Mus musculus: one gene and its partner. The protein of the gene in region 2 interacts with the protein of the main gene of each other region in a pairwise test. Links are inferred from orthologs where the notes say so. Each region holds a gene or a part of one and is shown on either strand. Other genes may lie near its edges. The genes, in order: Pkn1 and Akap9.

The links.
Region 1: the proteins of Akap9 (region 2) and Pkn1 interact in a two-hybrid assay, tested with the Homo sapiens proteins (2 studies listed by BioGRID). The link is inferred for Mus musculus from reciprocal best matches to the Homo sapiens genes AKAP9 and PKN1.

The regions. Positions count from the first base shown.
Region 1 is NC_000074.6:83,686,087-83,697,987, reverse strand, and holds part of Pkn1 (serine/threonine-protein kinase N1), read left to right. Parts: intron 1-3,871; exon of another isoform or gene 3,872-3,992; coding exon of another isoform or gene 3,993-4,028; intron 4,029-5,051; coding exon 5,052-5,352; intron 5,353-6,787; coding exon 6,788-6,939; intron 6,940-10,803; coding exon 10,804-10,948; intron 10,949-11,901. UniProt on the Homo sapiens protein: PKC-related serine/threonine-protein kinase involved in various processes such as regulation of the intermediate filaments of the actin cytoskeleton, cell migration, tumor cell invasion and transcription regulation.
Region 2 is NC_000071.6:4,064,215-4,076,115, forward strand, and holds part of Akap9 (A-kinase anchor protein 9), read left to right. Parts: coding exon 1-525; intron 526-966; coding exon 967-1,172; intron 1,173-1,590; coding exon 1,591-1,696; intron 1,697-3,525; coding exon 3,526-3,708; intron 3,709-4,792; coding exon 4,793-4,993; intron 4,994-6,084; coding exon 6,085-6,317; intron 6,318-8,400; coding exon 8,401-8,486; intron 8,487-9,199; exon of another isoform or gene 9,200-9,564; intron 9,565-11,901. UniProt on the Homo sapiens protein: Scaffolding protein that assembles several protein kinases and phosphatases on the centrosome and Golgi apparatus. Required to maintain the integrity of the Golgi apparatus. Required for microtubule nucleation at the cis-side of the Golgi apparatus.

The DNA of each region.
Region 1 (11,901 bases), on a different chromosome or scaffold from region 2:
CACCGGTGCCGGCTCCCCTTCAAGCCCACTGAGGGCTGTGCAGGGCTGTCCCAGTACATGCATGTGCTTGGTGTGTCCCGAGTAGGACGCACATGGAGGCTGTGATTCCCAGAATGAGGCTGGACCTACATCTTGGTCCCCGTCCCGTCTTCTCCCTTATGTTCATTCCCGCTTGGACTTGCTGCCTGGTTCCACCGTCTCCGTGCCTGTCTGTTCTGTGTCTGGCAAACGGATGTCCTGTCTAGATTCTGGAAACGCCCCAGGCATTGAAATCTCAGGAAGTGGGGTTTTGGGTTCCTAGCCACTTTGCCAAGAGGGTTTCCCCAAGGTGACAGTTCTTGGTCTGCTGTCTGCAGATCTGTAATGGCAGGTGGAGAAGCTGACCTTCTAATTCCTCAAGACCAGGCCAGGCGTTTGCCCTGCTGCCCTCAAGTGACTCCTTGTCCCTGGGCAGAAGTGAGTCACCGAGGAGGAGGACCCAGGAGGCCCTGCCTCCCTGCCTGCATGCTTTTCACATTCCCAGGCCTTCTCTGCTGGAGGTGGGGCCAAGGACCTTCACCTCTCCTCTTTGCTTGAGCTGGCCCTGCTCCTGGCTGTGTACCTGCTTTGCCTGCTGGGTTGGGGGCGCTGGTGGGCGACAGTGGGTGGGGCCTGGTCATGACAGAGTATTGTTCAGTGAGGCCAGGTTTAAATACCAATGCTGCCTTCCCTAATGAGTTCTTGGGTCAAACACTTTTACCTTACAGAGTCTTGTTTCTGTTTTGGAGGAGGCAATGGGGTTAGGAATGGTATGAGGGTCTGGTGGTGGTAGTGCACACCTTTGATTCCAGGACTTGGGAGGCAGAGGCAGGGGGATCTCTGAGTTTGAGGTCAGACTGGTCTATAGAGTTCTAGGACAGCCAGGGCAACTCAGAAAAACCCTGGGTGGGGGTGGGGAGGTGGGGGGAGTGAGGGTGAGATGATGGCTATGCAGAGAGAGGTGGAGCCTCAGCCAGTTCTGTGCTTCTCTGACACCTTTACTTTGAACATAGAGCTTGACAGTCTAGGCTGGGAACCCACACCCCTTCCCAAGGCCCCAGCAATGGCCTTGTGTGGGGGTCATTGTGTAGTGGGGCTGTCCTGTGTACCTCGGAATGTTGACATGGATAGGTGTCCCCTGTATACTTTGGTTGTAATGACAACAAGAATGACCCCAGACATTGACATGCGTTTCTCAAGGCGATGAGAAGACGACCCTACCTTCACTGAGAGCACAGCTATGGCCTCTTTGAGCATCGGTTTCCCCCTATGGTGACTACTGCTCAGATACACAGTGAGGAGATGACAGGGTCACAGGATCTGTGCTCTTGGCCTGCAGCCTCATCCGAAGGGCTTAAGAGCCTAGGAGAACATTGCTCATTGTGATGGTGATGGCTCACTACTTCTAGGTGTGCTGGACGTGGGATTCTTCCCAGCTAATGTGAATCTTGGCTCTGTCTCTTGCTGCCTGTGGGACCTGGAGCAGGGGGCCTCAGCTAGTTTGTCCATCCGTCTGTCCTTCCTTCCTTCCTCTCTCTCTCTCTCTCTCTCTCTCTCTCTCTCCCTCTCTCCCTCTCTCTCTTTCTCTCTTATCTGTCTTATCATCTCTAGCATCTACATCTTGCTGTGCTAGGTGCAAAGGTGCCTGTTACAATCCTATCTCTGGCAAGTAGGAAGCAGGAGGATCAGGAGTTCAAGGCCAGCCTTCACTATGTATTAAATTCAGAGCCATATGGGTTATATGAGACAGAGCCACAAAATGAAACATAGTACCTGACACATGGAGGACGTTCTCTGAGACCTGGGTGAGGCTGGAGCAGGCGCTGTTTTGTTGCTCTTGAGGTACAGAGCTTGTGTGTGCTACCAAGCTTCACCCTCTGATATCACCACCACTACCATTACTTTTATTTATTTGTTATTTTTAATTATATATGGTGGGGGGGTATGTACACATGCCCACAGAAGCCAGAGAGGTCTGATCCACCCAGAACTGAAGTTACAGGCATCTGTGAGCCATTTGTCAGGGGTACCTCGAACTCAGAAATCCGCCTGCCTCTGCCTCCCAAGTGCTGGGATTAAAGGCGAGCGCCACCATGCCCGGTGATATATTTTTTTTTTAGAGCAGTTTTAGGATCATGGCAAAATCCAGGGGGAAATAGAATCTCATATGTATCTTGATCCTGATATAAACAGCCTTGTAACTGCTATCTCTGACAGTTGAGATTTAGTAAATAGTTGCGGGCTGCTGTTTGGGGCCACTCAGGGTTGTTTCTTCCTGGTGTTGGCATCAGGGAGCGACTACTAAGCCAGGTGGGCTCCCTAGGCCTCTGCTGTGAGCAGTCAGGGTGGACATCTGGGTAGGAGGAAGCAGGAAGTTGATGCTGCCTGTGTACCGGAAGCATGCATGCAGCGTTTGTGTGTGTGTGTGTGTGTGTGTGTGTGTGTGTGTGTGTGTGTGTGTGTGTGTGCGTGCGCGTGCGTGCGCGCACACACACGTTTTCTCTCTCTCTCTCTCTCCCCTACAGAACTTGCTGTTCTGATACTTAAGGGGAAGTTGGGGACAAGGGACAAGTGGGAGGGTCTCTCAGTAGTGACATGAACACGCATTAGCAGGGCTGAGGGCCTGAAGAACCTGAGGGCCTGAGGTGGTGCATCTAAAAAGAAGTGTCAGCATGTACAAGCCCTTTACCACACACACAACACACACACACACACACACACACACACACACACACACACTCTCACACACATACAGTTGCACGTAGGCATGCACATGTGTATGAGCTTGTGGGCTATGGCCACTTGGCAGGTGGAGGGTTTGTGAGTAGCTTCCAAGGGACGAAAACTAGCACCCAAAGCTGTTTGTTTATCAGGGTGTGTGCAGGCAGGTGTGGGAGTGTGCATGTTTATGAAGCTGTGTCCTACCTCCATGCTGATACCGATGGGAGCAGTATGTGTGAGACTGCTCTGCATTCCTGAGCCTGGGTCCCAGACATACACCTGCAGGCGGCCGTGTGTGAATTAGCATTCTGTGCACACACTGAGCCAGGCACAGACCTGCAGAGCTAGACGCGCACACCTTTGGGAACTTATGTTCTACCTACACATTCGTGCAGGTGGGGACTGGTCTAGTCTGCTTTCCGTCACTGTGATAAAAGACTGACCAAAAGCAACTTGGGGAGGAAAGGGTTGGTTTGGTTTTATAAATTATAGTCCATCATGGAATGAAGTCAGGGCTGGAGCTCAAGACAGAAGCTTAAAGCAAAACCACAGAGGAGCACTGCTCACTGGCTCACTTCCTCTGGCTTGCTCAGCTTCTTTTCTTATCCCAGGTCCACCTGCCCAGGATGGCACTGCCCACAGGGAGCTGGGCTCTCCCACATCAGTTAGCAATGAAGAAAATATCCCATAGACACGCCCACAGGCCAATCCGACAGAGGCAATTCCTCAATTGAGGTGTGCAAATCTCACACTCGCAGAGCTGGAACTCTGACCACACCTATAAGACTGTGGTCCACACACATGCTGTGTACCACACAATATCCTGCCTGCTACATAATATACTGTGGATGTGTGTATCCAATGTGTCAGGCATTGAGGACTGTTTCTCCCTGGCTTGTCTCCAGAGAAGCAGGCATGGCCATTTAGGGGTTGATGTGGGAAGAACCTCTTCCATGGCACACACCCTTAATCCCAGTACCTGGGATATAGAAGCAGATATATGAGCTCTAAGCCACCCTGGTCTGCATAGTGAATTCCAGGTCAGCCAGAACTACATAGAGAGACCCTGACTCAAAAACAAAACAGAACAACTCCCAACCCCAAACAAAAACAACCAAAAAACTTGCCCTAGAGCTGGCCTGGCGCAGAGGATGCTGGGAACTGGAAGGGAAGAGGAAGTGGCAGTCCAGAGGCCCTGGCAGGGCTGAGGTTCAGGAAGAGGGCGAGGCTCTTAGACCAGACCTACGACCCAGATGGCAGCTGATCCCCCTTTGGATTCGGAGCTGGAGGTAGGGCTGGGATCTCCTCAGCATGGACGAAGGAGACGTGGGGTCACATGGGGTGGCAGAAATTGAGGTTCTGTTCTGGGTGCCTCTCGATTGGCGACTAAGCATAGGAAGGAGGAAGGGAACTGGTGATATCTCTCCAGGTTGGGGGGTGGTGAAACTTGGGTGCTGTGTCAGCGCTCAGCTTTGGGAGATGTGGGAGGAGATGAGCTCTGCTCTTTGGAGTACCAGATATAGAAGATAACAAAGCAAGACCATATAGTTTGGGAATGTAGATGAGAGACGTCTGGATATGTTTCTAAGGACAGCAAAAGAAACAGTAGCCTGCTCTGGGACTTCCTGGTTAGGAATGCAGGACACCAGGAGAGAAAGGGGGTCATCTGACCCTTCTGGAAGAACCCCATTGCATAGGTAACAAATTAAGGGAGACAGGCCATACCTGTGGGGACCCTGGTGTGCACACAGGGAAGGAAGGAGACTTGTGCTTGGCCTGGTCTTCACCTTCCTGTTTTCTTATTGATATTATTTTCTTGTTATGTGTATGTGTCTGTGGTGTTATGTCCATATGCACACCAGTGCCTGCTGAGGCTAGAGGCATTGCGTCCCCCTGGATTTGGAATTAGAGGCTGGAAACTGAATTCAGCTGCTCTGCCAGAGCACTATGTGTTTTTAGCTGCTGAGCCATTTCTCCAACCCCTGACTTATTTATTCATTTACTCATTCATCCATTGATTCATGCATCTATGTGTGTGTGGGAGGGGTGTCAGAGGACAACCTTTAGGAATTGATCATCTCCTTCCACTATGTAGATTCCTAGGAGATGAACTTAGGCAGGCTTGGCAGCAAGAGCCTTTACCCCTAAACCATCTCTCTGGCCAAGACATCCCATTTATGAGCGTCAGGCCTCTGTCCTTGGGATTTTGGGGTGGAGTAGGATAGGGTGGTGGTGGGTCAGGTGATCTGTGTTCTGGTGAGGCCACCTGCCCTCTAGCTTCTGACCTTGTGTGTGTGGTCCCTCCCCTACAGAGTGAGCCTCGAAGCTGGTCGCTGCTGGAACAGCTGGGTCTGGCTGGGGCTGACCTGGCAGCCCCCGGGGTGCAGCAACAGCTGGAGTTAGAGCGAGAGCGACTGAAGCGGGAGATACGGAAGGAGCTGAAGCTGAAGGAGGGCGCTGAGAACCTGAGGCGAGCCACCACTGACCTGGGCCGTAGCCTGGCCCCTGTGGAGCTGCTGCTGCGGGGCTCCGCTCGACGCCTAGACTTACTGCACCAGCAGCTGCAGGAGCTGCATGCACATGTGGTGCTGCCTGACCCTGCAGCTGGAAGCGGTGAGCAGAAAGCCTGGGAGCTGTGTTCTGTCAGGATACTGTCCTGGGTTCACAGAAGCCACAGGAGAGGCCAGGCTTACAGGGCCACTAGCACCTGGATGAATACAGTCACACCTGTTTCCCAGACCCCACTCAAAGCTGTCTTTGGCATTAGGAGTACCTAGATATAGACTCACCAGCATCCAGGTAACACCAGAGACCCACACTGTCACCAGATACCTAAGGACACCATTACAACTATTTTCAGACAACGACTGAGAAACATGCTATCACATGAGAATCCAGAAGCCCACAGTCACACTAACAGACACCCAAATACTGCACATCTGTCACCCTCATGGCTCCCTAAATCATTCCAATATGTAAAGAAGGAAGGAAAGAAGGAAGGAAGGAAAGTGGAGAACAAGTGAGTAACTTACCTGATGTCCCTCTGGCTTCTGTGTATACACATGTGCATGCACACATGTGTACTTGTACATAAAGAAAACCCACAACACAATTTATCATTGCCAGAGTTCAGTCACTTTATGTGTGTACATGCAGTAACAAAGCAATGGTTCCTTCATCTTGTACCTAAGATGGTCATGGTCACAGGGACACCAGAAGACACCCAGAGTTTATACTGTCACACACATGTTCAGAGAAGTACAGTCAATTATGCCACCTGGGCAACACAGCAAACCCGATTACGTGATTCCAGAGACAGGAGCACAATCTCGTCCAAACAGCGTCCAAGGTTTGCGTCCTGTCACTTATACCTAGAGAGACACACTAACTAACCCACAATGACACTAGAGCTCTCCCACTAGGTCACACCAACCTTGAGAGGTATCCCACCACTGTCCCATCCACAGCAGACTCTACCTACAGCCTACAGGCTCAGCCCCTCTACATATGGCTGTGTCAGCTTTTGGGGTCCAATACTGCTGGAGTTCAGCCAAGAGTCTCATAAGCCCTTTCTGCAGTTCCCCACCACTGCATCTCTCTTGTGTTACAGACCTCACCTCTGACAACGACAACAGCCAAGTCTCAAAACAATCCTAGAAACCCCTAGAGATCAGAACTGAGCTGTACCAACAAGAAGCAGTGTCATTGTAAGCTCACACATATACACTGTTACACCCACATCTAGGGTTCTACCACCAGTGGCCTACAGACATAATCACACACACACCAGTGGGCTTATACACCCTAAGGCAGATGGGGGCATTTTTTCCAGCTAACCCTGAAGACCTGCATACCTGGTCACTAACTCACTCTCCCTCATGCTGAAGCCCAGTCTGTCACTGAGAGCCAGATGTCTCCTGCCCGTGTACTGGCCCCTAGGCTCCTTTTCTGGATGAAGGTTTCCTATTGGCTGGGACAAAATCTCCCAGGTCTCCTGGGTACACTGAAGTGACCACTGTGTGATTCTCTTCTTTTCTTGTTTCCTCAGATGCTACCCAATCCCTTGCAGAGGGCAGCCCTATCTGCTCATCCACCAACCTGAGCAGAGTGGCTGGGCTGGAGAAGCAGCTGGCCATTGAGCTCAAGGTCAAACAGGGGGCAGAGAACATGATCCAGACCTATAGCAATGGCAGCAGCAAGGTGAGACCACAGTGCTCCAGAACCTTTCGTCACTGTGACGGACCGGAGGCTGTGTCTCTCCCGTGTGCTCCCTGCCTCTGACTTATCTACTCTGGGCATCATATTATTGCAGTACATGGCCATTTGTCTGTGGCTCTGCAGACACTTGCACAGAGATGTTCAGAGAGGTGAGGAGGATGTAGTTCCAGCTGGTACAAACTGGGCTATGAGTCCTCAGTCCAGTGGAGGTCCAGACTTTGTAGTTGAGAGCACTGAGGCTCAGAGAAGTGAAAGAGCAAGGCTGAGGTCAAAAGCTGAACTGGAGTGGCAACTTTGGAATTTTTGTTTCTTTACAAACTCAGAAAAAAGAATGTATTTTCATTTTAATCCAAGGTGTGGGATATGGGACTGCTTCTGACTGTCCACAGCAGCTGACTATGATTTGCCTCGTGCTCTAGCAGGGGCATGGTTTTGCCAGCTCCATATTGTTTCTGCAGTTGTGTAACACTTGAAATTCTGGGAACTTCTCAGAGGATATATAAATGCTACAGTCCTGATAGGTGGGTGTAGCTGGTGGTCATTCAGGGGGGATGGTTGCAGTTTGTTAGTAGTTGTACTCAAAGAAGAAAGGAGAAGAAAGAAATAAGACTCCAGGATTCCCCCTCCCTCCCTCTCCCCTCTATCCTTTCTCTCCTATCTAGTGATAGGGGTGAAACCAGGGGGATAATGGTTGGGGAAAAGAAGAACCCATAAAATAGCACAAGACAGGCAATAAGTGGTGCCCAAACATGGAAAGTGAAGGATAAAAATGGGAAATTAGAGAAAACAAACAGGGAATGGAGGAATGGATTTTGTTTTTTCAAGACACCAGCAAAAAATGTATTGTAGCTGTTGCCACTGGGATGTTTCCTGCTTTGCTCCCAAAGGGTTTTTTTTTTTTTTCTTCTTTTTCTTTTTTGTATATTTTGCTTTGAAAAAGGTTGAAGGACTGGCTGGGCAGCTGGAAAAGTTGCTAGTGGAAATGGAAGGGCCTGAGAAACAAACAAACATGACTGAAATGGAGAAAAGAAGGGGGCCACTCTGCTCTCTCTTCTGAAGGGTTGGAGTTGACCGTGCATGGGAGAGGTTGCGGATAGAGGTGGTGAGCACCAGGAAAGAGAGAAGAAAAGGCTCAGTCCTGAGAGCAGGAGTTTCCCTCAGGAGGAAAGACGGAAAGAAACTGTGCCCGAAGGCAGTCAGGTCAGAAACCGGCTGAGGAAGTGAGAGGACAAGCTGATGAACTGGTTAGAGAGAGAGAAGGGGTTAACCTCGAACCAGCTACAGCTCCAGAGATGGAGGAGGGGCAGCTTGGCCTTAGGAGATCACCACTAGTTAGTTGTACAGCATGGGCCTGCTGACGGTGTGGAAAAGGGTCATGGGGACATAGGATGGCATCCTCGAGGCATGATAGAGCTACAGTCTTTTAAAGGACTGTGACTTCTTAGGAATGCACTAGCTTTATATGAAACAAATTCTAAATAACTGTGCTACTCAAAATAGAATTATTCTCCAAGACTAGAAGGGATTGGTGACAGCTTAGACACCAGTCTGCAGTTGCCATGGTTAACATGGTGGGGGGAAGAAGCTGCAAATATTGGATCACGAAGTAGAACGAGGGGATGAATACAGTAAAAGACGAGGTGTTGGGTGAAGGGCGGTACTCTGATATACAAGAACAGATTCAATTTGATGATGTTACTATAGAACGTTGTCACTTAGTGGCTTTAAGAGCTTGGGACAGGGCTGGTGAGATGGCTCAGTGGGTAAGAGCACCCGACTGCTCTTACGAAGGTCAGAAGTTCAAATCCCAGCAACCACATGGTGGCTCACAACCATCCGTAATGAGATCTGACTCCTTCTTCTAGAGTGTCTGACACTCCCTTTTCTGGAGTGTCTGAGGACAGCTACAGTGTACTTACATATAATAAATAAATAAATAAATCTTAAAAAAAAAAAGAGCTTGGGACAAAGCTGAGGAGCCCAGGAGAAAGTCCACCTCATTTACAAAGATTATATACAAGGTTCTGAAGAGGCCTTCACTGATTTTTTTATTTTTTATTATTTTTATTATTATTTTTTTTTCTTTTTGGTTTTTTGAGACAGGGTTTCTCTGTGTAGCCCTGGCTGTCCTGGAACTCACTCTGTAGACCAGGCTGGCCTCGAACTCAGAAATCCACCTGCCTCTGCCTCCCGAGTGCTGGGATTAAAGGTGTGCACCACCACGCCCGGCTTATTTTTTATTTTTATTTTTTTTACAAAAATTAGTCTCAGCTGTGAACAAAGCCATATTAGACTATCAAGCAAGACAGGTGTTGATAGAGGACTTGGTTATGAAAATTTGAATACCAAATGTAAAAAAGTTATTAGACCATTAAAGGTTCAAGCAGTGCCTATAGATGATTGGATAAGGGATATGACCAATGTTGGATCTAACATGTGCCATGCTAATATAGTAGGTCAGGTTTAGCTATAGGTGTCCAATATCAAAATGCCTGGTACTTCAATTACAGGAAATTCAGTCATTTGCAAAGAGACTGTGACTAAGCCGCTAAAAGTCTTACATCTCAAAATGCCTGGTGCTAAATTGTGGGAAATATTGTCATTTGAAAAAAAATTGAATGAGGCATCTGTATAAGGAAATGTGTTTTCTAAATATAAACCAGAAGGAAGGTCCAGTCTCCAGGAGTGTGCAGGTGATGTGGCAAGAATTGCTGTTGGACTGATGAGTGTGTCGGACCAAGAGAGTTATCCAGGGCAGTTTCTAACTATCCAGAATTGGCCCTGCGGCCTATCTTGAGGCCACACAGAAAAAAAGTAGGAACAGTTTGCTTCTTGTCAGCCGGGAAATAACAAGCAGGCAGAAAAACCTCAATACTCAGCAAGAGAGAGTCACCAGGTTATAGGAAAAACCATGGAATTAAATCAACCGATATACTATAAGAACATCAGAGCGGAAGCCAGTGAGAGCTTTGCCTGGAGGATGCAGATGTGTTTATATTTCCACAGGGAAGCAAAAGCTGTGGGTCCCATCAGAACTGATCAAGATAGGAACCCAGCAGGAGAGGGCTCCTGAAAGTCTTGGCCACGGACCCGAAAAGCACTTATTTCATTGAAAATGTCTGTTTATAATCTCCCGCTACACACAGTTCATGGCTTAAAACAGAAGGGAGAAACGTAGTGACAGCTTTAGAGTTTTGGTTTCTTTAAAAACACAGAAATATTATAATCCCAGGAGTGGAATATGGGCTGCTCCAGACTGTCCACAGCAGCTGACTATGATTTGCCTCATGCTCTAGCAGGGGCACAGTTTTGCCAGCTGCAGATAGTTATTGCAATTGGTGACATTTGGAGTTCTGGGGACTTTTCAGAGGGTACATAAATCAGCACGGCCCCAGTCGGCAGGGTTGGCGGTTGTTGGTCATACAGGGGGTTGATTGCAGTTTGTTAGTAGTCGTGCTCAAAGGAGAAAGGAGAGAGAAATTAGACCCAAGGATCCCGATCCCTCTCTCTGTCCCTGTCCCTCCCCCTCTCTCTCCTCCTCCCCTTCCCTCTCCCTCTCTCCCTACTGTTTCTCTCCCTCCCCTCTCTCCCTCTTTCTCTCCTATCTAGTGATGGGGGTGAAACTGAGGGGATAAAGGGTGGAAAAAGAAGAACACATGAAGTAGCAAAGACCAGCTACACTGAGTTGTTGGGTAGCAGAGCTGGGACTGAAGCCCATGGACTGCCTGCCTCTGCACTGGCCCAGGAGGCTGGGACTATGTGTCCTTGCTCTTACCTGTTATGATGTGGACAGCAGCTCAGACTTGAGTTCCCACTCTGCCTGCCACCTTCCATGTCTGTCCCCAGGACCGGAAGCTGTTGTTGACAGCCCAGCAGATGCTGCAGGACAGTAAGACCAAGATTGACATCATCCGCATGCAGCTTCGAAGAGCGCTCCAGGCACTACAGGCTGGAGAGCTGGAGAGTCAGGCAGCTCCTGATGAAGCCCAAGGTAAGACCCTTCTTGGACATTGGCTGCCTGCATTCAGCCTTCCAGGGGTCCACCTGCAACCCACAATGCCTATTCCTGTCTATTTCTGGTTGTTTCATTCAAGGTTTGGGCTAGGATAGTTGTTGCCAAACGCCACCCTCAGGCCAAATCCACCTGATTTTTTTCCCTCCCTCCCTCCCTCCCTCCCTCCCTCCCTCCCTCCCTCCCTCCCTCCCTCCCTCCCTCCCTTTTGTCCTTCCTTCCTTTTGTTGTGGTTAGGGTGGAATCCAGGGACTCCTATAAACTAGGCCTGTGTTTTTATCGAACCGTGACCCTAACCCTTCAATGATAAAATCTATGTGGCACTGTAGTACTTGGCAAACCCTATCCCTTGTTTTTAGGGTTGTTTTAAGATTTATCTGTGCCTGTGTGCATGCATGTGTGCATGTGTGTGTGCAGGTGCCTCAGGAGCCAGAAGGAGGCATCAGATCTCTGGAACTAGAGTCTCGGGTGGTTGTGAGTCATATGCCGTGGGTCTGGGTAAGCAGACTCCTCTGGAAGAGCAGAAAGCTTTTCTATAATCAAGCCATCTCTCTAGCCCCACCCCTGGTTGCTTTCAGTTTAGTTTTGAGACAGGATCTTTCTATAATAGCCCTGCCTGTCCTGGATCTTAGTATGTAAACCAGGCTGGCCTGTGACTCACAGAGGCAGAGTTCTTCCTGCCTCTGCCTCCTGAGTGCTGGAATTAAGCGTTTGTGTTACCATATCGAGCCTGTGATTGCGTTTTGAGATAGGGTGTCATTATGTAGCTCTGGCTAGCCTTGATCTATGTAGACCAGGCTGCCTCTAACAGATCGCCTGTCTCTGCCTCCATCCCCCACTCTATCCCTTTCTTTTTCTTTTTCTTTTTTTCTTTTGAGAAAAGATTTCACCCTGTGGCCTAAGCCAGACTTGAACTCTCAGTCCTCCTGCCG
Region 2 (11,901 bases):
CAAGGCCGCAACTTAGGGCTTCAAGCTCTCCTGGAGTCAGAGCAAGTTAGGATTCAGGAGATGAAGAGCACACTAGACAAGGAACGGGAGCTGTATGCCCAGTTGCAGAGCCGTGAAGATGGCGGGCAGCCCCCGCCAGCCTTGCCTTCTGAGGACCTACTTAAAGAGCTACAGAAACAACTGGAGGAAAAACACAGCCGCATAGTAGAACTGTTAAGTGAAACTGAAAAATATAAACTAGATTCCTTGCAAACAAGGCAACAGATGGAAAAGGACAGGCAGGTTCATCAGAAGACACTGCAGACAGAACAGGAGGCAAACACCCAGGGCCAAAAGAAAATGCAGGAGCTGCAGTCCAAAGTGGAAGAGCTGCAGCGCCAGCTCCAGGAGAAAAGGCAGCAGGTGTACAAGCTAGACCTGGAGGGAAAGCGACTGCAAGGGCTTATGCAGGAATTCCAAAAGCAGGAGCTGGAGCCGGAGGAGAAACCGGGAAGCAGAGGCCTTGTGGATCAGAATCTGAATGAGGTCATTTTTTGTTGCTTTTACAGTATTTATGAGGTGGTATTAAATTTTGTTTCCTTTACAGTATTTCTGAGGCAGTATTTATGGCTCAGTGGGCTATCTGCAGGCCTGAGTTCATGTTAAGGAAAGAGCCAGTTCCACAAAACTGTGTGTGACATCCAAATCTGCCCTATGGCATTGCTACACTCACATATTTATGCACACACACAATGATAAGGGTTTTTTATAGTTATGAGTAATTTTAAAATTTTACATACCCTTAATGTTTTAAAATATTTGTAAACTTCAAATGGTGTTATTGAGTTACTTAAATAGTTATGTTTAAGTCATCCCAAAATTGTGTCTATAGAATTTTATCTGGAATGTGGGTGGTTTGTTTCCTAGGGAAGGAAAATGAACTCCTGCTCATTTGGGAGTCTTTCTTTCTCTCTCTGAAATTGTCAGCCAGCCACCTGGAACTTCACTGATGATCGGACTAGAAATTGGGTTCTTCAACAGAAAATGGGAGAGGCCAAAGACAGGAACTTCACAAAGTTGATTGAAATAAACGGAGGAGAACTTGACCATAATCATGACTTGGAAATGATCAGACAGACACTCCAGCATGTGGCTTCAAAACTTCAGCATGTAGCCCAGAAAGCCTGCAGCAGGTTAGATTTTCTCCTGTGGGGTACAAATGACACACTTGACAGATCAGCTAAGCGTGACAAAATGTTAAATTTTGGTTTTGTTTTGTTTTGTTGAGACAAGGTCTTACAATGTAGCCCTGGGTGGCCTAGAGTTTACTCTGTAGACCAGGTTGGCCTCAAGCATGCAGAGAAATCTGCCATCTAGCACCACATGCATAACAAAGAAGAGATGCTTTAGAGATAACATGCGTCTACATTAGATGGTGTTCCTGTAGCAGAAATTACCCATCTGGAAACAGCTAACACCTTGAACCAGAAAAGTCAAGTGACCAAGGACCTCTCGCTGCTGGTGTGTTAGTGAGACAGAGCAGCCCACGCCTAAGTGTGTGTAGGAGTGTCATTGGGAGGTCTGTTTTCACTTTTTATCTTTTTCTTAAAGGCTGCAGTTTGAAACAGCCGGTGATGATGCATTTATTTGGATTCAGGAGAATATTGATGGAATTATTTTGCAACTACAGAAACTAACTGGCCAGCCAGGTGATGAGGTAAAACTTTTAAACGTTCCTTGTAATGAGAACAAAGCTCAAATACATTATGAACTGCTTGAAAATTACCAGACTATTTTGTAAGAGTTTTGATTTCGTTTTTTATTTGAAATACAGTGCTGCTTCCCCCCGCCCCCCAGAGGTGTTGAGATTAAGGGGGAATCACATTCGTTATTGTTGCTATGTAATTAGTCTCTTACACAGTCAAGGCTTCTTAAGAGGGTAACCTGGCTTCCCTGTCCTATCTCCATGAGCTTAGAATCCTACTGGCGCCTTTCTTCACAGGTGACTGCTCTGTGGAACTTTTCACTCCCTCTTTGTACATTTGACACTTGTTTGGCTTTTTTAACTTTTTGGCTATTTGAGACAGGTTCTCTCTGTGTGGCCCTGGCTGTCCTAGAACCGGCTGTATAGACCAGGCTGTCTCCAAGCTCATAGAGTTCAGGTTGCCTCTGCCTCCTGAGCCTTGGGATTAAAAGCTTGCACCACCAAGCCCAGCTGTATTTTGCTTTCTTAAATCCTGTTTTCCTTGTCTTCTGTATTTCTGCTCTCTCTTAACCTGCTGTCAGCCAGTCCTGTCTGTCCTTTCTCTTGCTTCTGTAGTCTTGCTTTTCTCTTAACTACAAGTGTGAAACCTCCCATTTCCCACGGCATGGACTCTCTTGGCTTGGTGAGCAGTTGCTGTGTCCCAGGCACTGCTCGGGGTCCTGGGATTCCTGTAGCAGAGTGAGCAGAGTCCTACCCTTGTGCCGTGCTTTGTGCTGTGCACTGTGTGCTGTTGCTGTGTGCCGTTGCTGTGTGCTGTGCGCTGTGCACTGTGTGCTGTACGCTGTGCACTGTGTGCCGTTGCTGTTGCTGTGTGCTGTGCACTGTGTGCTGTTGCTGTGTGCCGTTGCTGTGTGCTGTGCGCTGTGCACTGTGTGCTGTATGCTGTGCACTGTGTGCCGTTGCTGTTGCTGTGTGCTGTGCACTATGTGCTGTGCACTGTGTGCCGTTGCTGTGTGCTGTGCGCTGTGCACTGTGTGCCGTTGCTGTGTGCCGGTGCTGTGTGCTGTGCACTGTGTGCTGTTGCTGTGTGCTGCAGCTGTTCTGCTGTAGCGCCGTGACCTGTGCAGAGGAGTGTGTCCAGTGAGTTACTGGGGACACTCTCCAGTGGTGATCCCTTAGGAGCCTCACACACACGTTCATACTGAACGTTGTCTTCCCTTCCCCTCCCTGACCTCCTTCCCCTTCCTGTTTCTGTTATCACTCAGTTTGGAAAGCTGGGAGTCACCACAATCCATCTTCCTTCTCCCTTCCCTGTATGCATGAGCAGACAGAAGCCATGTAAATGTCCATTCATGTGCCATTTACTCTCTGTCCCTGCCTCAGTATTTCCTGTGTAAACCGTTACAACTTTCTAACAGAACTGTATCTTTCCCTAAGCTGCTCTGCCAAGTACACGGCTGCCAGAGGAATGTTTGTAAACATGTCAGCTTTGTGCTGGCACCTCCTAAAGTCACCTTGGCTCTCTGTTGCCGTGCTTAGGCCTGACATAGCATGCAGCAACATTTAGTCTGACAAAGTGCTGCTAGTTCCTTTAAAGCAGCACACTCTTGCCTGTGCCTCTGTCCCTCTGTCTTGCTGTGTGTGTGTGTCCTGCTTCCTGTGCCCTCCCCAGCTGTTTGCCTGCTTGGCACATTCTCACTATTACCAAGCACCAGTTCATGGAGTCCCTGTCCCCTGTCAGCACCTGTTAGTGTTTACAGGAGTTCCTCGTGTGTGTATGTGTGTGTTTGTCTGTCTGTCTGTCTGTCTGTCTATATAACCTTGTGCCATTGTTTTTCCAGCACAGCTTAGGACCCCCCAGTTCTTCCTGTGGCTCCTTAACTGAAAGCCTAATGAGACAAAATACTGAGTTAACAAGACTTATCAACCAACTAACAGAAGAAAAGAACACCTTACGGAGCATTGTCATAAAGCTGGAGGAGCTGAACAGGTGCTACTGGCACACAGGAGCCAGCAGAGACTGTGTACGTCTGCTTTTAGAAATAACTCAAAGCTAGGGGCTTCTCTCTAGTTTTACCTTTTAACCATAGTCCAAAAATATCATGTACAAATCTTATTAGGATATGTAGAAAGTATTATATAAGATGACAATAATAATAAAAATACCTATGACTGAGGACAGCCTCCCCACCATACTCTGAGTTCTATACATACAGAATGGTTCATCTGCATCCCGCCTTCTACATGAGAATAACCAAGTCAAATCAATCTAAGATATAAACATGTGTTTCCTAAACACATATATATTGAAAGATGGTCAAAATACTGATTCTTTTTCTCTTTTTTTTTTTTTTTTTTTGATGATCTATTTATTATATGTAAGTACACTGTAGCTGTCTTCAGACACTCCAGAAGAGGGCATCAGATCTCATTACAGATGGTTGTGAGCCACCATGTGGTTGCTGGGATTTGAACTCTGGACCTTTGGAAGAGCAGTTGGTTGCTCTTACCCTCTGAGCCATCTTACCAGCTGATTCTTTTTCTCATCAGTTACTATTTACTATGTGTATGACCAAGTGAAAGATAATGTTAATCTGGGCATGGTGATACATGCCTTTAATCCCAGCACTAACTCGTAAAAGTAGACAGATAGCTGTGAATTCAAAGCTAATCTGGTCTTCATTATCAAATCTCTGACTAGCAAGGAAGGGTTAATGTTCCTTCACCAGTTAGATCCTGTCTGGGGGGGGGGGGGGAGGCTGTTAAGTTATATATATTTCAAACTAATAAGGTAGTCTCTGGATTTAAATTTGTTTTAAAGCTAAAAAAAAAAAGTTAGTCTCTGTATTTACCCTTATGTTTAAAGGTAGAAAGATTGGCAAAACAACTACATAGTCAAGTAAATAGCTTATTCGTGTGGCTAGCCTGAGAGTCACTCCCTCACATCCATTCTGTCTCAGTGATGTGTAAGAATGAACACCTAGACCCAGACAGTGTGATTGTAACTGTGAGCTTCCCTGTGGGGTTGGAAGGCCAAGGCTCCGCAATCCGTTGTGATTTAATGTGGTCATCTTTTTGAAGATTATCTGATAGGCCATGTCTCTGCAGTGTTCTAGGTTCTCATTTATTGATCCAGCTGACATCGAAGCCATCATTGCTTCAGAAAAGGAAGTCTGGAACAGAGAAAAGTTATCTCTTCAGAAAGCCTTGAAGAGGGCAGAAGCAAAAGTGTACAAGCTAAAAGCTGAACTACGAAACGATGCCTTGCTTCGGAATCTGGGCCCTGACACTGATCATGCTGCCCTGCAGGTAGGCGGTGTCTTGCATGCGTGTGGATCCCTCTTGCTGACCCTAACTGAGCAGACCACAGAACGCTAAGTGCTTGCTCAGTCTGTGTCCCTGCGCATCTTTTCAGTCTGGCACAGTTGCAGTGTCTCTGCCTGTAGAGAGGCATTCATAGAACTGGAACACACTCAGTTCTGCTTGTCTTGCTGTCAGCCATGTGGCCCTCATCCCGGAGTCTTATCCCCTATAGACAACCAGAAGTCTTCTCTTTCAGTTCCCTAAGCAGAGCACGACTGTCCACGGAAGGCATTGCACCCTGTGTAATGTGGAGGATGGATGCTGTGGTAAAGCTGCCTTGATCAGTTAGCTTAAGTCCACAGAGGAGAGGAAGACAAGAGGGACAGACAGACAACTATGGGGTGGACACAGAGGGACAGACATTATGCAGTGGACAGAGGGACAGACAGACAACTATGGAGTGGACACAGATGGACAGACAGACAACTATAGGGTGGACATAGGGGGACAGACAGACAGCTATGGAGTAGACACAAAGGGACAGACAGACAACTACACGGTGGACACAGAGGGACAGAGAGAAACTTATTTAACAAGTTAAATGGATGAATGACTAATTTTTTAAAAATGAAGCCAATATATATATTTTTTTAAAGATTTATTTATTTTATTTATATGAGTACACTGTTGCTTTCTTCAAACACAACAGAAGTAGGTATCAGATCTCGTTACAGATGGTTGTGAGCTACCATGTGGTTGCTGGGAATTAAACTCGACCTCTGGAAGAGCAGTCAGTGCTCTTAACCACTGAGACATTTCTCCAACCTGAAGTTGATATTTTATAAACATACACAATGACAGAAATATTTGCAATAAATGTGATTGAAGGGCTAACCCCCCAAATCAGTGCAAACACAACTCCGACTAGAAGTTACACTTCAAAGGCTGTGTCTCTCCTTGTCAGCTGGGCTGTTAAAGAAGACAGCAGCCTGTCGTGTGGCCTAAGACTTTCTCCTTTCCTCTAGGTAGTCTTCCTCTGTAGAACAGCTCAAATGACTTCTCACTGATGTCTTTGTTCTTTTCTTCATTAACTATAGAAAATTTATAATAAATACTTGAGAGCTTCAAGTTTCCGGAAAGCTCTCATATATCAGAAAAAATACCTGCTGCTGCTCCTGGGGGGATTCCAGGAGTGTGAAGACGTCACCCTGGGGGTTCTTGCCCGAATGGGGGGACACCTAGCCTTGAAAGATTCCAAGACCATCACCAACCACCCGAAGGCATTCAGCAGGTTTCGCTCCGCCGTCAGAGTGTCCATTGCGATTTCAAGGTAAAGTCTTAAAGAACACTCACTTTGGTCATAAGCCAGCTCGCTAGGGAGATGCATGTGAGGTAGACACTTTAGAACTGAGCACTACTTCTTCCTCTCCAGGTTCTCACCCTGGCAGCAGCATCTCTGTTCTGTGTAAACCCTAGACAATGACTTTCCAGGTCTAAGTACCCGCTCATGCCGGGCCCAGTCCACGTTGTCCTTCCAAAATTCATCCAAATTAACTTAGCTGGCACACATAGATTATACAATGAAAGGATGTTTTTGAAAAAATACTGCTAAGACTGGTATATGTTTATTTTCTTCACTGTTAAAATCAGCTACACAGTGCCCAGTTGCGGAATGCCCTGGTTTAAGTCTGCTCGGGCAGGGATTGGACTCTCAGTGCCCCCCTTTTCTTCCCTAGCAGTAGTCCAGCCTGGGCACTTGACATTGGTGCTGCTAGTGGCTGCAGAGAATGGAGACCCAGCTGTCCCCCACGCCTGGCCTGCTTTGGGTTGTGCTTCAAAATCCCCTTTTTTCTCTTCACAACCAGAGTCTCAAAGAAATCTTGGTTTTTAAAAAGTTGTGCCAGTCGGTAACATCTGCTACTGCTTCAGAGCGGGGCAGTTTCTTCTCCTCTTTTCCTTTTCCTCTTTTTAACTTCTACTTTGTGTGGACTGGTGTCATGCCCATGTATATATCTGTGTACCACATGTGTGCCTGGAGCCTGCGGAGGCCAGAAGAGGATGTCAGATCCCCTGGGTGCCAAGTGGGTACCGAGAATCAGATGAGGCTCATCCGCAAGAGCAGCCGCTGCTTGTCACCTCTGCGCGCTCTCTCTCTTTCTCTCTCTCTCTCTCTCTCTCTCTCTCTCTCTCTCTCTCTCTCTCTCTCCAGCCCCTACTTGGTAATGTTGGAACGGCTTCCAGTTAAAATCCTGTGCCATATTTTCCAAAGAAAACTAAGTTAAAACCTGGAGGCTGTTCAGAGACTACCGTCAAGGAATTCAGTTCACAGATGAGGCAGGAAGAGGGAAAAGCTGAGGCAACACACCCTACAGGCCATGGCAGCCAGGCAGAAAGGAGATGAGCCTCTTTCAGTCAGGACAGCTCTGCACTGGAGCCTGGGTTTATCTTACTGTTGGCCTCTGCCCTGCCTGCCTCTTTGGTCCTCACGTGAAGTTGGCCTCAAGCCCCACTGCTCCTTTATCACCTTGTACAGGGTAAAATAGGGCAAGCCCAGTGGGTACATTAATAGACAACACCCTTCTACTGGAGAGAGTACAGTGCATAGGCTTCAGAGACCTGGAACAGGCTTCGGTGGTGACAGGAGTCAGCCTGTAATGCAAAGTTCAGAAGGCTCCCTGAAGGAGAAAAGCTACTATCAAGCCCTCACCTCCCTCCTTTAAAGGCATGGATTGAGATGGGGTCTCTTGTCACTCTGGCTGTCCTGGAATTATGTAGACCAGGTTGGTCTTAAACTCAGAGATCTGCCCACCTCTGCCTACCGAGTTCTGGAAGTAAAAGAGTTTCCTAGCATTCCTGGCTCATTCCTTTCACTTTGCCCTGCTATAGGCACATGGTATTTTGATCCTCCTTAAACTGGACTCTGAAATTGGCATTAACAACTTACAACTGGTACTCCAAAAAGTTCCACAGCCCAGGGCAGAATGGGCAGTCAGCAAGGAATTCAAATTTCTTTTGAAACCACCACTGTTTCTGTTCCTGATGACAGGGTCTAACACTCCCCAGTTTCCCTGGCCTCCTGTTACTGCCTGTCGAAATTTGTTCTTTTATCATCTACCTGATCACCTTTCTTTCCTCTTTCTGTTACCTCCATCCTCTCGTTGTCCACTGTTTTTCTGTCCATTTTTGCCCCACATCCTCTTCTGCTCCACTTATTAGAGACACTGGCGTGGCCTCCTGGGGCATGAAGGGAGGCCGTGCCCTGCACTGTACTTGGAGAATTATGTGTCATTTAGCTGAGGTGGTCTTGTGACTGTGCTGAAGGGTTTGTGTTCATAATTAAATGGCATGGTTTTGTGGGATGTCGTGCTTATATTTATGACTTTGCTTTGAGATTTTATGTTTGGCTCTTTTAGAATGAAATTTTTGGTGCGGCGGTGGCAGCAAGTGACAAGTACTAGCTCCATCAATATTAACAGGGATGGATTTGGACTGAGTCCAGGTAAAGTAAAAAAGGAAAATGGCATAATTTCTGTGTATGACTCTGAAATTGCTATGTGAGTAATAGCTGTCAAATAATTCTAATGTTGGTGTTGTCTAAAGATACAAAAACCGTGTAGCTCTTCTGCTCTTAATTCTTTGTGTTTATTACATAGCTACTTTGTGGGTTGTTCTCTCTGTCTGCTAACAGTATCTTCTGTGGCTCAGCTTAGCTTCTCTCGGCTCAGCTGTCACCAATGGTCTTCTCAGTCGGCTAGCCCAATTCACTTTCACCTGTCTCTTATTTTCAATCTCATCTCTCCCCTCCCCTCCCCTCCTCACATTGCTGTCTCCTGGACCCTACTTCTGCCTACTACTACTTTCCCCACCTCCTTTCTCATTCTCTTTCTCAGACTCTGCTAGCTTTTATATCCACTCCTGTTCCCAGAAGTCCAATAGCCAACCACCACTGAAGAGCATAGATCACCTAAAATAGTTCATACTACATTTTCTCCCATTTGTTTTAGTTACTAATTATGCAGTTTTGAAGCTGCTTCTCAGTCCTTCCCAATGTCTCTTCCAGAGTTCTCAGGTGTGTGATGTGATCTGTCTGTTGATCTCTCAAGAACACATCCACAAAAGAACCTAACAGGGATGCTTCTCTTTCCTGTAATTTGGGTACTGCTTCTTGAACTGTGTTTAGGATATTAGCTGTTAATTTCTTCCAAATAGTTGTTACAGGTTCTTTACCAATCTTTATTAATTACTCATAATGGCATAATTATAAGGCACTATGATTTCTCATTGAAGTCTCTTAATCTCTGTCCCAGCTCTGTGAACCTTTGCCTGTAGTGCTGCTCCTGGGCCTCTGGCTGCTCTGCAGGTGGATGGCTTTGTATAGCAGGAGACCGAAGTTCTCCTCCTCATGGCCTGTCAGTCGCTTAGGTGCTGAACCTTTCTTGTCCCGGCGTTTCTGGCCAGCTGGGGAAGGTCTGGTTCTCTTCTTTCCTCTTTTTGGTCATTGTCCATGGTTTTCAGAAGACCTCCCATGCTCAAATCTGAGCTTTATTAGTTTGATGGTATCCACATCTTTTTGTTTCCTATAAAAATAAAAATAAGTCTACACCCCAAGTGCAATACATTCACTGACTTATATTCTGATGTTAACACATCCTTATAGTATACAGGCTGATTTAATTCCACATTTTTTTCTATAACCCAGTTGTCAGCCACTGTTGTTCCTTTCACATTAATGTTCAGAAAATTTAAAGTTAACAGCACTAGTCTATCCTTCTGAGTCTTTATTCTTCAATTTTGTTTTATAAGCATTTCTTTTAAGATGCGACTAGATCTTTAAACAATTGCTTGTCCTGTAGGATTGTGTAGTATACCTATAATATGCCTGTGATTTATATTATAATATACAAAGACTTGCTTCATTTTATTGGATACATGTGCAGGGATATTGTCAGTCTTAATTTGTTCAGGTATCCCCACAATAGCCATTACTTCTAGTAAATATATAATCACAGAATCAACCTTTTCAGAAATCAAAGCAGTTGCCCATTAAAAGCCTGTGTATGTATGGGGTAAAAACTTTAGTTTTCCAAATTCTGCAAAATGAAACACTTCCATATGCCAGACTTCATTTCTTGTGGTACCCTTGGGGTTACTTCCAGTGGATAATGGGGTTTGGTTATACAGAGAACAAGTAGGGCATTTTCTTATAATTTCCTTGGCTTGTTGCCAAGTGATAGAAATTTTTTTCTTTAAACCTTTATTGTTAACTTGGTTTTTTTTTATGAACTATTGATGCTTCTAACATATTTCCTATTAATAATTGGTCAATTTCTTCATTTCCTTGGGCTAATGGACCTAGCAAGACTATATGAGACTGAATATGGGTGATATATAATGGATATTTTCTATATCTGATTGCCTGTTGCACTTGTATAAATAATGTTAATTCTTAACTATCAGGAATAAATTCAGTAGTTTCTATATGTGGAACAATTCTTTCTGCATATTGAGAGCCAGTAATTAAGAGGTTCAGGAAAATCTAATAGAACCATATGAATTGCATAGAACTCTAATTTTTGAACTGAAATATTTGGACTTTGAATTACTTTTGTTGTTTTTTTCCTGACTTATAACCAGCTATTCCCAATTTATTTGAATTGGTATAAAATGTAGGTGCTCCAGGAATTGGTTTCCTTTTACAGTGTGGGGGAGAATCCAATTAGTTCTTTTTATAAACTGAAGACGCTTGCTTTTAGGATATTAGCTGTTAATTTCTTCCAAATAGTTGTTACAGGCTCTTTACCAATCTTTATTAATTACTCATAATGGCATAATTATAAGGCACTATGATTTCTGCTGATTGCTGACAATTGATGTAGTCTTATTCTTCCATTTATAATTAAATCAGAAACCTTTTAAAATATGTCTTTATAATTTTACTTTGTGTGCTAAGAAAATCTGTTCTAAAATACTATCTTCCCTTTGCATAATGAGCCCAGTAGAATGACTCTGAGGCAAAATAACAAAAATACAGTCCAGTTTGGGATCTATGCGATCCATATATACACCCTGCTGTCTTTTTACTGAAGTTAATACTTTCTCTGTTTCAATTGTTAGCTGTCTTGGACTGTCTAAGTCTGAATCTCCTTGTAATGTTTAAAACAAAGTACTTAACTCATGAGTAGTTAATCATCCAGTGGTGTGCCATATCTAGTTAATATCTCCCATTAATTTTTGAAAATCATTAAAAGTTCATAACTGATATGTTCTGATCTGTACCTTTTGTGGTTAAAATTTTTGACTTATTTTATAACCTAAGATAGTGGATAGAATCTCTTCTCTATTTTATCAGCAACAATCTGCAAACTGCAACATGGCAAAATTCTTTTTGTTTCACCATTTTCTCTAAAGTACCTGCATCCAAACCACCCAACAAAATATCATCCACATAATGGATTGAGTAAATTGCCTATGAATTATTTCTAGCAGTTGTTGCACAAAATATTGACATAGAGTTGGACTATTTAACATTCCTTGTAGAAATACTTTTCACTGGTACCTTTTTACAGGTTGAACAGTTTTACATATAGGCACTGTGAAGGCAAATTTTGCCTTATCCTGCTCTTGCAAGGGGATAGTGAAAAGGCTGTCTTTTGAGTCAGTAGCTTTCATAGGCTATGTCTTAGGTAGCAAAGAAGGCAAAGGAATTCCAGACTGTAACTGACCCATTGGTTGGACTGCTCAATTCACAACTCTTAAATTGGTTAAGATTGTCCATTTACCCCAATTTCTTTTTTTCTAACAAATACATGGGAATTCCATGGCCAGTAGACTCTTGTTGAGCCTCTAGCTGCTTGAGGACCAACTGCTCAAGTGCCTATGATTTTTCTTTAGTTAAGGCAGTGCTCCCCCCCCCC